Linked DNA regions of Canis lupus familiaris. The protein of the gene in region 2 binds, or shares a complex with, the protein of the main gene of each other region. Links are inferred from orthologs where the notes say so. Each region holds a gene or a part of one and is shown on either strand. Other genes may lie near its edges.

Region 1 (3,520 bases), on a different chromosome or scaffold from region 2:
TGGCACCTCAGCCAGGCCCCACAGGAGGGGGCCCAGGCCTAGAAACAGCAGATTTAGGAAGCTGAGCATTTCCTGCCCTCTCCATGCCTGGACCTGGGGGCCACAGCCTGGCTACCTCTGACCTCCCACAGGCTGGTGGGGAGGAGTGCTGGAGGGACAGCAGAGGCTTGGAGAACTAGGAAGGAGGGAGGAGGCGGGGAGGGGCGGGGGGGGGGCAGTGGGAATTGTCAGGCCCTGCCTGGAAGGCCCCACTATTGAAGAATGGATTATCCGACACCCAGATTAATGGACTTTCATTTTGCTAAACATCTGTCACCGTTAGTGCTGGCTCGCGAGCGTGAAATGAGCTTTGACTGTGCTGCCATCGCCATATCTGGCTGGGCGCTGTGGCTCCTGTGCCAGTGGCCGGCTCTGCACAGGGTGGCGGTGGGAGGCGCAGTCACTGAATGGGGACCTGGTGGAGGGGCTGTGGCACGGCCACTGGGAGTTACTCCAGGGCACCAGCAGACGCTCATCTCACTCCTGGCCCTGTGATCCCCCGAGGGCCCTTCCAGGGGCGCTACCCCCAGTATCTGCATGTAGCAGCGAGCAGCATTCCCAGGCACCTACCATGTGCCGGCCCTTGTACATACGGTCGCCATTTACCAAGTCCTGTCATGAGGTAAGTACTGTAACATCACACCCAGGTGACAGGTGAGGAGACGGAGGCACAGGGTGGGACTCACCCAGGATCACACGGCTGGAAGTGGTGGGGCCAGGCTTTGAATCCAGAGATTCTGGTCTGAAGTCCCAGCTCCACCACGACTCCCTTCAGACTCCCTTCTGCCCAAGTCCGTGGGACCCAGCGCGGGGCTCCTGGGTCCATCCCCCCGTGCCTGTCTCTGGGGGCGGTGAGGCCTGGACGGAGCCCTCTCTGACACCAACCCCCGCCCGCCTCCAGCTGTACATCCAGACCACGACGCTGACGGTCTCGGTGAGTCTGAGCGCCTCGGTGTCCCTGGGGATGCTCTACATGCCCAAGGTCTACATCATCCTCTTCCACCCGGAGCAGAATGTGCCCAAGCGCAAGCGCAGCCTCAAAGCTGTTGTCACCGCCGCCACCATGTCCAACAAGTTCACACAGAAGGGCAGCTTCCGGCCCAATGGTGAGGCCAAGTCTGAGCTCTGCGAGAACCTCGAGACGCCAGGTGAGCGCCCGGCCCTGCCCCCTTCCCCTCAGGGCTCACCCAGGCCCGCCTCCTTCTGGGAGAAGGCCAGCCTCCCCCTCCAACCTGAACCTGGCCATGCCCCTCCTGAGCCTAGTCCTCCAGGGTCTCGGGAGAGCCCTAAGGCCACAGGTGAGTGGGAGTTACAGGAGAACCTTGAGGCACCAAGTTAGTGCCCCTCTGCCCCGCCCATCGTGGTAACCTGGAGAGAACCTCAGGGTCCCACCCCACGTAGCCCTCCCTGCACCCCTCCAGGGACCTCTGTCCGCCAAGGGCAAGGCCATGAAGGGAACCTGGTTCATGAAGGGTAAAAGGGGACTCTGGGATTTCTCTGCCCTGGTACCCACATCTGGGCCTGTGCCTTTTCAGTCCCTCTGGGAAAAGGGGTTGTCTGGAGGGTCTCTGCTTCCTGGGCATGGAGGCCCGGTGCCAGCCTGGCCATCCCTGATCAGGGCCCTGAGATATGGGGACTCAGGAGGCCAGTCCCCAGGATGGGTCTGGGAAAGAGTAGATTGGATGGAGGGCTTTCAGGCACCTCAGTTCTCAGGTGGCAGGGTGTTTGAAGGGATTGTCCAAGGACACCTCTGTAGTAGAGAGTCATGCTTTGAGGGGGTCCTCGGCATCTGAGGGGCAGGCCTAAGGTCCAGGCCTGGGCAGGGATGTGCATGGGAGGGACCAAGACTACCATCTTTGCCAGCGTCTCTGGTCCCCCTGAAGCCTCCCCTGTGTGAGGAGAAGAGATAGAAAGAGAGGGGCAGGGCATGTGAAGGACAGATCAGACCTCGGGGGCACCAGTAATAATGGCGACTGTCTCTTGAACCCTGTGTCCCACACTACCATGTACCAGTGTTCATCTTCACAGCGACCTTGGAAGGCAGGTTATTTTTTATCCTCTGTGTAACACAGATGAGGAAAGGGAGGCTCAGCAAAGTTAGGGACTCACCTGGGTTGTACAGCCAGCAGGTGGCGGGGCTGGACTTGACTGCCACAGTGGTATCCCTACCGCCTCCAAAGAGTTGGAGTCCTCTGCCCTGGGGTGAGCCATGGGATCTCCTGCCTGTGGGGTGGACCTCCATGGGCCTCACTTCCAGCTGCTCTGGTGGGGGTGGCTGTGGTCATCCCCGCCCCACTGAGACCATGGCTCCCTCCCTGGACATCCTCCAAGTGTCCAAATAGTTTGAGTGGCAGCTTCTCCTGCCTCCTCGGCTCTCTGAAAGTCCTGGGGGGCTCTTATTGGTGGGGAGGGAGGAGAAGACCCCCTCGCCCCAGACTTTCCATCAGCGGGACCTGGGAGTTAGCACTCAGCTCTTCCGTCTTGTCCTGGGGAGAAGGCCAGAAATGGACATTGTTGATGGCAGCAGGAGGACATGGGCTAGACTACAGGAGGGTCTGGAACACAGGCTCCAGAGAGGAGGCCCACGGTCACCTGCCAGGAGGTCAGGAGAACAGGAGACCTGGCCTCCCTGGTGTGTGTTGGCTGAGGCAGCACCTCTCATGGGCTCCCCGCCTTGTGGCTCCAGGGAAGCATCTTCTCTTCCTTTCTTAGCACGGCCCCCACGTGTTGAGAGACTGCCATCTGTGGAAAGAAGGAAAGTCACTTCCTACATCCACACACAATTTTTCACTCCCAAAGCCTCTCCTTGTTGAGTGATCTTCACAGCTGTCCTGTGAGGTCAGGATAGGGCTAGAGGTTTGATCCCTGGCAGAGGCCCAGAGAGGATGAGTGACTCTCCTGAGGTCACACAGCAAGGCGGTGGCTGGCTGGCTGGCCCCACACTGTCTCTCCTTTGACCCCGACTTCACATGGCGTCCCTATCTCTGGAGTCCCATGCTCTGTGTGGAGTAGGATACATGGCTTTGACATGCCCCCTTCTTTGACATCCTGATGACAAGGTGTTTTTCCCTGCCCCATCTTCTACCAGAGGACCTCTGGTTCTCTTCAATCCTGCTCCTCCTCCCGGACCACCAGCTTCTTGGGAACCTACAGCCCTGGGACTCCCTTCAGGTGCCCCCTGGGCCTTCCACTCTGAGATGGGAAGGGGCATGGTCCTCCCAGGACTCCCCTCTTCTGGCCTTTTGTGTCTAGATCTGCAGAGACCCCAAATGCAGCCCCTAAGCAGACCCTTCTGTTCTAAGCAGGGATCCCTCACTGCTCCCCACCCCACACTCCTGACTGCCGTTTTCCTCTTTCCCACGGAGCTTTATCCTTCCTGGATTCATCTGTCATGCCTTATTCTGCTGGTGCGGGAGTGGGTCTGTCAAATGAGCTCTGCTCCAGGGCCCATCAGAGTGGAGCATTAGCCCTCTGGGGGCTA
Region 2 (3,520 bases):
GGTTATGGGAAAATGAGATCATTTTTTGAGTGCTTTAATTTTTCCAATAAAAGAAGCAAGATGATCTGGTGAAAGTCAGAAGTGCGAAGGAGTTTGTAAGGTTTGAGAGAGAAAGGAAATGGTGTGAAATAGGCATCTTGTAATGTGGGAGAAGGAATTGACTAAGGAAATGCCAGTGAAATGTTAAGGAATTCTTAGAGGGCTGATCTGACATGGGTGACCACTAAAGTGATTCCAGTTGACAGACAAGGGAAATGTGGTCCTGAGAGCATATATAGTTAAAAAGTGGGGACGACGCCTCCTCTGCTTCTATTTTGAATTCTAGTCACATGGTTGAGAGGATGGATCACTCTTGGAATATTTCCTCAGATCCACAAGATACTGACAGAGGAATTAATAAAAGCAAATAGGCCAGGAACAAATAATTTCATTTTTGCCTATGTTCAGTTTCTGTATCATGGTATTCCATGTAGAGGATGAGTTCCTAGAGGTGTTTATGTTGCCATATCTCCTTAAGTATGCCTGCTTGACACAAATGATATCAAGTAGCGTCTGGGCTACTTTTAGGGAATTATATTTGGTCGCTGAATTACGCTAAAGTGAAAAACTCTGATAACAAAGCTTAGTAATTTTTCTTGCTAGATAGCCTCACTTAAGTTTTCCCTGGGACCTTGGTTTCCATTAATCTAGAATTAGCACTCACATTGATTTCATACTTTGTGTTTGATTACAGGTGAATTCAAAGTCTGATTTTCTTTTCTTTCAGGTGCTGGAGAATCTGGTAAAAGCACCATTGTGAAACAGATGAAGTAAGTTGGAACATGGCCTTTTGTAAAACTACAGTTCCTCATAATGCACAAAAGCCCATAGTATCTTTTTCTTTTTAGGTCTGTGGTAATGATTTGTGGTTTTCTTTTTAAAGAATCATTCATGAGGATGGCTATTCAGAGGAAGAATGTAAACAATATAAAGTAGTTGTCTACAGCAATACTATACAGTCCATCATTGCGATCATAAGAGCCATGGGACGGCTAAAGATTGACTTTGGGGAAGCTGCCAGAGCAGTAAGTGTTTCTCATTTCCTCTTCACTTGCTTTCTTTTAGTAGATTCAGTTAAGGAAAATTTTCTTCGTGTTTTAGGGAAATGAATTTAAGCAACAAGATAAGATGGAGCAAAGTACTGTGTGCCCATTTGAAAAGTATTAGCAATCTGCTTTAGGAGATACTAGATTACCACCAGAAAGAAGAATTGAAGAAATGTAATTGTGTGGATATACTGTAGGTTTCTGTGACAGATCTTTTTTATTTGCTTCTTTATAGCACTGTTTTATTAAAGTAGTAAATACTAGTAAATTAAAATAATCTAAAAGAGGTAGATCTGCTTTCTGTGGCGTAAAGATAAAAGGCAAATATCAGACTTGAGAAGGACATGAATGCTAAGTCAAAATTTTAGGTACAATTTTTAGGTATTCAAAAATACTATATCACTGTACTATGTTGGACTGTAACCTATACAATTGGATTATTGCATGTCCTAGGACAATTCTTGCACATGTCAGATACTCAAAAGTTGTGTTGATGAATCATAATACGTGGTGCACCATGAAGTTCTCATTTGTGAATTAGGATGTTTGCTGCAATGGGAAGAGGGCCAAAATGAAGGCAGGAGATCTTTTATATCTAGTTGCACTGAGAGAACGCTGATCCTAAGAATGATTTCCTAGAACTAAAGGACTCATCAGCTGTGTTCAGAGTGCTATAGACAACAAAAGGGGGTGACTTGGGGAGGCTGCCTGGAAAGGCAAAGCCTGTGTGTCCGTGAAGTAGCTTAGGAACTCTTAGCTGCTCTTGATTTATCCATTAACAAGCTATTATAAATGCAAATTAATATTCAGTAAATAAGTGGAGAAATTGTTGATGGGAAAAAATCACTAAAGGATAGTTGTAATTGGTTGGTATTCGATTAGGGATACTAGAAGTGGACCTAAGGGAAGAGGAGCTGGGCTAAGTTTGTAAAATGACTGGAAAGAAGAGTAGCAGAAGAGGGGACAAGGAAATATGTGAGGCACAACTTTTATGTTTTTGTAACAAAAGATGTCATAGCATAACATCCTGAGACTTTTTCTAAGCATCTGAGGGGAAAATGGGATTGTGAATGTAAGAATGAACAATGCATTTTTGTCTTACATCTTTCTGTCCCTTCTCTGCCTCCTGCTTTTCTTTTCTTCCCTCTGGCCACTACCCCCCCCCCCCCCCCCAGTATTATTTTCTTCCCTTTTCTTATCCCTTCCTGTCACCCAGCTCTGCGTGTCTGTTTTGTTTGCCAGATCCGTTATAACTGGTCGATGCTACTGTATTTAGTCCTTTCCCTCACTTTGTTGGCTTTTTCTCCATCTCAGTTCTTTATGTCTTCTCTTCATTCCTTCCTTTTTAATTTTTCACTGTCTTCTTTTATATCTCTTGATGAACCTCTCCCTTCTTGTCTCTCCCTTGTCAAATTGGTTGTTATTAATGTTTGGGTCCTCACACTACTTTGTCACCAATACAGTTGACATTTTCTGTCTTTGTCCTGTTGTAACAAAACACCACAGACTTAGTAGCTTATCAACAACAGTCATTTATTGCGCACACTTCGGGAGGCAGGAAGTCTGAGGTCAGATGGGAAGTCTGGTGAGGGTCCTCTTCAGTTGCAGACTTCTCACTATGTCCTCACATGGCAGGAGAAAGGAGCTCTCTGGAGTCCCTTTTATCAGAGCACTAATTCCATTCATGGGACCTCCACCCTCATGACTGTAGTTGTACTTCCCCAAAGCCCCATCACCTAATACTATGACTTTGGGCATTGGAATTTAACATATGAATTTTGGAAGGACACAAACATTCAGACCACAGCATCTGTTCTCCTTTCGTTCCTTCCCTTTATCAAATGAGTGTCATTCCTCTTTGGGTCCTAACACTCCTATGTCACCAGATGCGGTCAACATCTCCTTCATTCCTGTTAGGCCTCCTGAATCACTTAGTTTTCCACCATCTACCCATCCTAATCTGCAACCCTATGTAATTTTTTGAAGTTTCTCTTTATCTAGTTTCTTACGGCTGTTTAGAGAGTGAATGGACAAGAATAGAGCCAGGTGAGGGGTAGGTTGCTTTTTCATATCTGCTTAAAGGTGGAGGTTTGAAGTTCATTGTAAAGAGGGGCCTCCTTAAAGGCCTAAAGAGGGTTTATTGTGGAGAAGCAAGAGTAGGTCAGTGGAGGAGATGTAAGTGGTAAGGGGAAAGTGATTCTGCTCAAAATTGTCCTTACAAAGGCAGGACAGCAGAAATATGTAGCAATAGCTCTCTCTCTTTTAAAGTTTTTATAATTAGAATTGCACTAGTAAAATGTAATGCTTATTGAGGTTTTGAATAGCTGTATGAGCATAGTTCAAATTTCAGAATGGACTGTAAAGTCTTCACATGTTAAAGCATTAGACATAGAAGGACATGTTCAATATTGAGTATGTTTGCCAATTTGTGTAAT

Evidence for each region.
Region 1: the proteins of GNAI3 (region 2) and GRM4 are in contact, whole or in part, in a cryo-EM structure (PDB 8JD6), measured with the Homo sapiens proteins. The link is inferred for Canis lupus familiaris from reciprocal best matches to the Homo sapiens genes GNAI3 and GRM4. Residues at the interface, in NP_006487.1 of Homo sapiens: Ala31, Lys32, Val34, Lys192, Asp193, Leu194, Thr219, Phe336, Thr340, Ile343, Ile344, Asn347, Leu348, Cys351, Gly352, Leu353, Tyr354; in NP_000832.1 of Homo sapiens: Pro616, Lys619, Ala620, Gly622, Arg623, Glu624, Arg676, Ile677, Ile680, Phe681, Gln683, Gly684, Lys685, Arg686, Ser687, Val688, Ser689, Ala690, Ile694, Ser695, Pro696, Phe781.

The regions. Positions count from the first base shown.
Region 1 is NC_049233.1:3,528,731-3,532,250, reverse strand, and holds part of GRM4 (metabotropic glutamate receptor 4), read left to right. Parts: intron 1-543; coding exon of another isoform or gene 544-582; exon of another isoform or gene 583-940; coding exon 941-1,187; intron 1,188-3,520.
Region 2 is NC_049227.1:42,747,711-42,751,230, reverse strand, and holds part of GNAI3 (guanine nucleotide-binding protein G(i) subunit alpha), read left to right. Parts: intron 1-766; coding exon 767-809; intron 810-922; coding exon 923-1,064; intron 1,065-3,520. UniProt on the Homo sapiens protein: Heterotrimeric guanine nucleotide-binding proteins (G proteins) function as transducers downstream of G protein-coupled receptors (GPCRs) in numerous signaling cascades.